2 linked regions of the Cricetulus griseus genome follow. The protein of the gene in region 2 interacts with the protein of the main gene of each other region in a pairwise test. Links are inferred from orthologs where the notes say so. Each region holds a gene or a part of one and is shown on either strand. Other genes may lie near its edges.

What was found. The genes of interacting proteins can lie anywhere in the genome.
Region 1: the proteins of Esrrg (region 2) and Nr0b1 interact in binary tests that used the Homo sapiens proteins (3 or more experiments, as listed by UniProt). The link is inferred for Cricetulus griseus from reciprocal best matches to the Homo sapiens genes ESRRG and NR0B1.

Annotation. Positions count from the first base shown.
Region 1 is NC_048604.1:82,193,707-82,197,724, forward strand, and holds the start of Nr0b1 (nuclear receptor subfamily 0 group B member 1), read right to left. Parts: upstream 2,821-4,018; coding exon 1,641-2,820; intron 1-1,640. UniProt on the Homo sapiens protein: Nuclear receptor that lacks a DNA-binding domain and acts as a corepressor that inhibits the transcriptional activity of other nuclear receptors through heterodimeric interactions.
Region 2 is NC_048598.1:6,844,026-6,848,114, forward strand, and holds the start of Esrrg (estrogen-related receptor gamma), read right to left. Parts: upstream 2,807-4,089; coding exon 2,751-2,806; intron 1-2,750. UniProt on the Homo sapiens protein: Orphan receptor that acts as a transcription activator in the absence of bound ligand. Binds specifically to an estrogen response element and activates reporter genes controlled by estrogen response elements.

The DNA.
Region 1 (4,018 bases), on a different chromosome or scaffold from region 2:
AACATGATTCAAAAGCAACTTCAAAACAGATTTGGTTTAAATGATGATATAACTTTCCTTCCTTTTTCTACAAAATTCAACACATGATTATTTTAAAGGCATCATGCTTTAAAAATAATAATCTTGATAGAAAAGAAACATTCCTATTATAGGCAAATAATAAATCATAAAAAGCAACACAATATGGAAACATTTCTTATCTAGATTATAATTCAGATTACAACAGCCCATGTAGTAACATCCTGCATTCTATTTCTATCCTGATACCAAAGGTTTGATCCCACTGAGAAAGTTTCTCTAGGTCTACACAGACTTGTGGTTTGCCAAAGCTTCATTTTGTGAAGGCACCCATTACATTTCACAACACAGTCCCTGGCCCTCTCCTTAAAGTAACTATTTTTTTCTTTGCAATAAAAATTCTTTTTTATGATACAAACTAAGAGGTTTACTTATGGCTATCTCATTCACACTGTTTTGTTTGGTCCTCCTTTCCAACTCCTCACATCTTCCTGTCCCACTCCCCCCCTACTTTTACCTCTCCACCCCCACAAAACTTCTCTTCAATGTAAAGACAGAAAAAAAGGCAGATGGACTCCACAGTTTACATATCTCCTTATCCTTTACTTATCTCCTTATGTTAAAACCCATTTGTATATCTATATCCAATATAAACGTTGTGTATCTTTGTTATATATAAACATAAAGACAAGGGGATGCAGAAAGGTAATCAGGAAAGAGAGGCCACACATTTTACAGATGTTACATTGTGCACAAATGTGGTTGCATTACTATTTAAAAACACACTTTGGCAAGATAAATTCCCATTGAGAGAGAACTAAAAAAATAGAGGAAGAATGGGAAGAATGAGGGAGGAGATAGAGAGGGTGGAGGAGAGGGAGGGAGAGGGACGGAGAGAGAAAGAGGGAGGGAATGAGGTGTGTGTACACGTGTGTGTGTGTGTGTGTGTGTGTGTGTGTGTGTGTGTGTGTGTGTGTGTTAAGGGAGGCAAAGGATGTGAAACAGGGTCAAGGCAATTGGGAAACTACTGGAAATAGCGACTTCTGAAAGCTGAGACCTTGGTCTCCACTTTGAATCTCAATAGTGCAGGAATAACAATTGGCCGAAAGAATGAGAAAACTGTCAGATGGCCTCAAGAATCACCTGAGCCACTTGTATTTGCAGACTTGCAGAATCTGGACTGGGCTGAACTATTACCTTCAGAGGGGAGGAGCTTGGGAAGACAAATCACCCTGCACCCAACACAAGCTCTTCTTAAAGGGAAATTTGGAAAACAGTAACTTAAGAAGAACTTGTGTGAAAAGAGCAAAAACTTTGTTTTTAAGTTATGCTCTTGGACCTCAGAGACGGCTAAACAAGGAAGAGAGAGCCATGTCCCACGAAGATAATAAAAGTAGAGCTCCAAGTAAAAGGCTTTCTCCTCACCCACCCCATCCAGTACCGAGTTTCTGGCAGAAACTCACCCACTTTGGGATGTGTTCATCATTAGCTTTGCAGAGTCTGTCACGAGGCTTCACGTGGGCTCCAACACACCTACAGCCACTGAAAACTCCTAAGTGCCTGTGTGTAGGGGTGTTGCTTTTGTGACCTAGAGAGGTAATGGAAAAGGCTGCCATGCTTACCTGGGTTAAAGAGCACGGCCCCCTTCAGATAGGCATATTCCTTGGTATCGATGTTCAGACTCCAGCACTTGAGAAAGAAGCTCTTTATGGCTTGGATCGCGGCGGCCGAGGGCAGGTGTCCAGCCTCCGCAGTGGACACCATCTGTGGCTGCTCTTTGGCCAGGGGATCTGCGGGCTCAGCACCCTGGGTCTCCTGCTGCCTGGTGGTGAGCGTCTTCTGCAGTACGCTAGGTTCGGAGATCTCCATCATTTCGATGTGCAGGTGATCCTGGGCCAGCTCAAGCATGAGTAGGGGCGCCCAACAGCTCCGCACCAGCACCAGCTGCTGATCCAGGGGCAGTATCTGGAAACAGGGCAAGTACTTGACAAAGCGCAGTGTCTTCAGCAGGCCAGCCGATGCTGCCTCGCACACCACCTGTGGATTCTTGAGAGTCAACGGACGCTGCACTCCAGAAGAGGCGTCCCACCAGAGGGCCCTAGGCTGCTCTTCCGGAGCCCGGGGCAGTTGATCTGAGCTCCCGGGTGTGCCACAGGCTAAGCTGCTCTGCTGGGGCTGCTCTTCACCGCACACGTAGCTGCGGTACAAGAACGCCATGGCCTGTGCGCTCTGCAGCCCCTCTGGGTCATCCATACTCTCCGTACAGTAAGACAGCTGCCACCATTCGCCTCCGCGACGTGCCTCGGACGCTTCCGGAGACACGTGCGTCTGCTTGGCGCTAGTGAGCAAGCTGTACAAGATGCTGCCCTGCTTCGGGTGCTCTTCTCCGCAGAAGCAACAGCGGTACAGGAGCGAGGCTGCCCGCCTGGCCGGTGTCCCCTCTCTACTCACCAGGGGTTCGGGGCTGCCGCAGGCACAGCCCCAGCACGGGGCTCCGAATCGCGCCCTGGACGCCTGGGTCCCTGAGCCTGACTGCTTGGCGCTAGTGAGCATAGAGTAGAGGATGCTGCCCTGGCGCGGGTGGTTCTCCCCGCAAAGGCAGCAGCGGTACAGGAGGGACGAGGTTTGCCCTCCGGGCAGTCCCTCCTCGTCCCCGATGGACTGAGCACCGCAGGCACAACCCCAGCACTGAACCCCCAAGCGCACCTTGGGCTCTACTGGAGCAGCCGCGTGCTTCTGCTTCGCGCTCATCAGTAAATTGTAGAGGATGCTGCCCTGCAACGGGTGGTCCTCACCCGCCATGGCCCGAGGCTCCTACAGCCCGTTCTGCCCAGTGGCTGCCGCCTGGGACTTATTTATACTGAGCGCGCACGCAAGCGCGTCCGCCTCCTCCGCCAGGACAAGGGCGCAGAGGGGGACGCGCCATTGCGCTTGAATGTGCGCGCTCATGACCTCGGAAGTTCAAAGGGGCAAAGAATCCTTAGAAACTGGAAATCCAAGGGGAACTTCTCAGCGCTGGAGATCGTGGACCCTCTCTTCCTTCCTCATTTTATCCCTCCTTCCCCTACCTGGGAAAGAGGAGAGTAGCGAACCTGGGGAAGCAAGTTAGGGCTCTGTTCCAACTCTTGCTATTGGACTCCGATGTCTAATTTATTCCCTTTATCGGAGGAAGAAGTACTTAAAAGAGAAAATATTCCATTTCTATGGAATCTTTGTAAACTTTTATGGAACGATTACAATTTGTATAACTTGCATTTTGTATAATGTTTGGAGAGTGAGATCTCATTTTAAGACCTTGAAAAGTGTAAACCCATACTAGTAGCTTCAGCATCGCACCAACAGTCTGAAACACCTTCCCTTCAGCTCCAGCCAAACTGCCTGAGTGTGAGTTTCAATGAAATCCATCTCCTGGCTATACATATGCACCCTAAAATTGAAAATCATTGGTGGAAGCAGGCAATAATGCTCAGTTTAATTCAATCAACCACCCACTGTGCCCGGGATGCTTGGATCAAGGAGCTGGGGGGCTGCAAACGTTATGTACTTGTAGCTGAATCTTGGGAACACAATAATCACAAGATTGTTACTGTGAGAACCTTTCATGCTTTTGAGAAGCAGAAAGCTGATAACTGTTCCTGTTCCCAACCATCCTAAGATACTATTGACAAATAGAAGAAAGCCTGAATGCTGGCATTTGTCACGGAGCCTCCTTTCACGTCAGACAGACATGAGACCAGGGGCCTCTTTCTAGTCAACCATGCGACTTGTGTCTTAACTTGATAATTCTTACACCCATTAGCTCCCTCACTTTAAGAGCGTAAGCCTTACTGGTCAGGAGAGGGGATTAGAGCACACCAGTTGGTACGGGACCTCTCTCTCTTCCATTCTCCCTCTTGGTTTTCTGTTCCCCCCCACACACACTCCCCTTTCAGTTATGTAGGGTCACTGAAATGTAAGAAAATCGAAGACACCTTCAATTTCCCCCTTTTCTTTTTGACAA
Region 2 (4,089 bases):
CCCCTTTAAAAAAATAGTACCCATAGTATCTATTACGATTTATGCTTCTGTTGCTTCTATGATTCTACACAGGTTTCTTTCTTATTTTTATTCTTTGCATTTCCCTATGATAGTATCACTTTGGAAGAAGTCTATTTCAATTCAGGTTAGCTTTTCCTGAGAAGACATGAGTCCGAGAGGAAAATAAAAATCAACACCCTGAAACACAGGAAACCATACACAATAAAATTTGCATAGCTCTGAGCAGGGATCCTTACAAACATGAAACTGCTAAATGTTCAGTGTCTGGATTTCAAGAATCAAGCTGGAATTTCCTAAACTGCTGCCTCCCCTTCTTGTCTGTTTTGGAGTGTTTCAATTGCCTTCTCCCAACAGCTGTGACAACTGTTAAAACAGTCAGTAAAATTAAGTCCGCTCTATAATCCTGTAGTCAATGTTACATTTTAATCAGAGGTTGAAAGGGATTCGTGTGACGAGCGCACTCATTTAGAATGATTACACAGACACATATGTCAAAACCAGCAGATACATTATTTCCGTCTATTTATGCTATCAGCTATTACTGCTATTCAGTAGGAAACAAGCCTTACAGCATTGTGTTCTTGAAAGTGCTGGCGCCTTTCCTAAAATAAAAAAAAAATGTATGTACTTACATAGTTAAAGGTTAACATTTTAAGATCTCTTAATGGTGGTCAATAAATTGCATGAATCTTTTTAACAGCCTCCCAAGAAGAAATGGTCCAATATTTTCCTTGGAAACTGCATAACTCAGGTTTCATTTCAGTGTATACACACGTGATGGGGTTGAAACCGGCACAATTACTATGAATATTAATAGCATGTATAAATTCTGTGGTTTATTAATTGAGACAGAAAGGCAGATGCGTTGCTCAGCCCTGGATCTTTCAGTCTGTCCAGTGAACCACGTAAACATCACAACTGCACCCACACAATAAATCTGTATTTTTTAAAGATGACTTTTAATTGAACCAAAAAGAAAGGAAGGAAAGAAGGAAGAAAGAAAGACAGACAGACAGAAAGATAGAAAGAGCTAGTTTGAATCTTGTGCCAAAGCCAAAAGGAAATGTGCCCTGGTTCCATTTAAACACGTCTGCTCTAAGAAGCCTATTTTAACTAATTATTCAAACTAGCTATAAGAAGTTAGATTCAAGGATACTACTTTTTCCATGAACCCTTTGGAGGGATATTTAAAGTTTGCTCTGATTATTTATTTAGGAAACAAAGTTCAGAATTTGGGTGAGCTTAAGGCATTCTCACTGACATTACCATTCTCCCAGTCTACAGCCCAGGTGCACCGACCTTCTCACTGTACTTGTGTGGGCAGTCTTACCTTTGTTTGTATTTCATTTTTATTCTTGAGCATTGTAAGGTTGGCTCTTCCCTCGAGTGTTTCAAACAGATGCAGAGACAGCCTCTCAATGTTTCAGATCCCAGTCTCAGCTAATAGTTCCTGTGAGAGTGTGTGCGTGTGTGCATGTGTGTGCACTCACACACGCTCAAACACACACAGGCAACGAGAGACTGCTAGCCACTTTTCATCTCTCAATTATGATGCAAAGGAAAGGACAGTCCACTAAGGACAGTTAGTGGACTTCTACCACCAACACACAGCCCAGGAGCCCAGAGTTCTGTTATTTCCTTCACAACCTATCAAGAGAAAGGTTTGCCAAGAGCACTCTTTTAAAAATTATAACAGTTTACTGTAATGCGAAAGCCATCTAACTGACTCAACAGAAAGCAAAAGAGACCACTGACAGCTTCGTGATCGAGGGATATTCTAGCTAAACAGTGAGTTGAAGTTAAGTTTATGACCTATTCATTTACACGGGAATACCCAGTTTGCTTTCCCTACTCCAACTCACTCCCCATGGACCTTTAATAATCTAAACATATAGACTATCCAGGAAGGTATTCATAAATAGGATTGAACTGCATTTAAAGAAGTATACTGCTCTTTTTATATGTTTCTGGACACAATATGATACATAATCCAAACCCAGGACATGCACACTGCCTATTTAAGGGAAGATTTTTTTTTTAAGTCACTAATGTTTCTTCTTCAGTTCTCTCCCCTTTAAATATTTATAATGTGTGACAATCTCATGTTACTTAACGGACTGATTTGCCAGTTAAGTACTGACTTAATGCTAACCACATAAATACCATTACCCTAGCTCTGAGCGGCACTGGGCTAGTTGCTAAATCGTTCTCTGCAGGAGAATTAATAAATGTACAATTTTGCCTCTAACTCCTCGCAGTAAAGGGTGACAGGGAGTTTCAAGTATCTGTCAAACTGCAAATACATAAGCAGCACTCAGTAGTATAAATCATTCTGAATATTGTATTTTAAAACATCTTTCCTAAGGAAAATGGGTCTGGGTAAAAGATGCATTTTAACAGTTCACTGAGCATTGGTGCCCAGAGCCTATTCTTAGCACCTGAAAGAGAAGTGACTGTCACCCAGCTGTTTTAGTGACAGTCACAGGGCTGCCTCAAAGGTAACACCGTAGTCAGAGAACAATTCTCCACTTACTGATTTAGGAGATCACCCTCCACACAAAAGGCACCAGACAGACACCAACAAGCACCCACGCACGCCAAACACCCAGGCCACTACGTGGGTCCGCGTGCACACACGCCGCCCTGTCCACGCTCCCGCACACACGCACCCCCACCCGCCCCCCCCCCCACGCCGAGTTGCAAAAAGAAAGAAAAAAAAAGGTACCTACTCTTCTTCGTAGTGCAGGGAAAAAGATTCAGGCAGGCAAAGTTCTACCGAATCCATGTGCGCCCGGCAACCATTATTTGTGCACCCCACCTATAAATCAAAGTTTCCTTGACACAGCCCGGTGCAATTAACACGCGCGTTCTCCCGGTGACAAGCCCATAGGCACGGCCAGTTGGGACCGAGGCTCGCACACTCTCTCCTAATCAAGGACTTAAAGCCCCGATTGGAGCTTATTAATATGAAGTAGGGCTTTACATATGCAGTCCCACCGGCCCAGGAGCGCATCTGATTGGGGGGCCGCTGCCCAATCAGGAGGGAGGCGACGCGAGGCCTCCGGAGCCGCAGCCCGCAGGTAGGCAGGGCGCACGCCCGGAGCACGGTGGGCAAAGCTGCAGCCGGGCTGCAAAAGCCCCATGCGAGCCGCAGCTTTCCCGTATTTATTCTTTTAATTCCTACCCTCCCACACGCCCGAGAAGCTTAAAAAAAAAAAAAAAAAAAGTAAGGGAAAAGAAAGAAAGGGGAAAAAATACCTACCATAACTAACTTAACTCACTCTACACCGGAGCGAATTGCTGTTGGTTTTTCTAACCTCAGATCTATTTTGTTTTTGCAAAGAAGAACTCATGCCAATTCGATAAATTTGGCCGACGGATTCTGCGAGAGGTGCTGCAGAAGTTTATCCTGCCTCACTGTGTGTATCGAGTGCTCAGCCGGGGCAGCTTCTTTTTATTTCTTTTTATTATTACGATTGGTGTGTGCGCTCTACTTTCTCATTAGCTTCTACTGATACCTTTCTTTGCTGTGTCCTAATATAAAGAGCATTTAAAAAATAAAATAAGAGATTCTTCGACATGATTTCAGCCTAAGAACTGACTGGTGGAGCCCTCTGGGGTGGAAGGTAGTAGCTTCATAGCTGTACAGAAGAGGGAAGAGTGCATGGATGCAGTTGGAGAGGGGTAAACATTTTCTATTCTCTCTCTCTCTCTCTTTCTCTCTGTCTCTGTCTCTCTCTCTCTCTCTCTCTCTCTCTCTCTCTCTCTCTCTCTCTCTCTCTCTCTCTCTCTCTCTCTCTCTCTCCAGTCCGCACAGCCTTTTAAAGCAAAGGTAAATAAAAGATAAATAAATGCATGGTGTATTGTCCCTTCTCTCTCTAGGTTTGGAGAGGAAGACTAGGGGCTGGGGCTGGGGCAGCCAACACCTTAATTAAATATCAGTATATTTTGATCAAATGGACATACAGTTGTTGTGGGAAGACCATGAAGCAAGGCACTGAAACTATCCTGAAGTGTATACTTATTTCAATATAGGCTTCCGAACCAGGGAACATACTCATACATAAA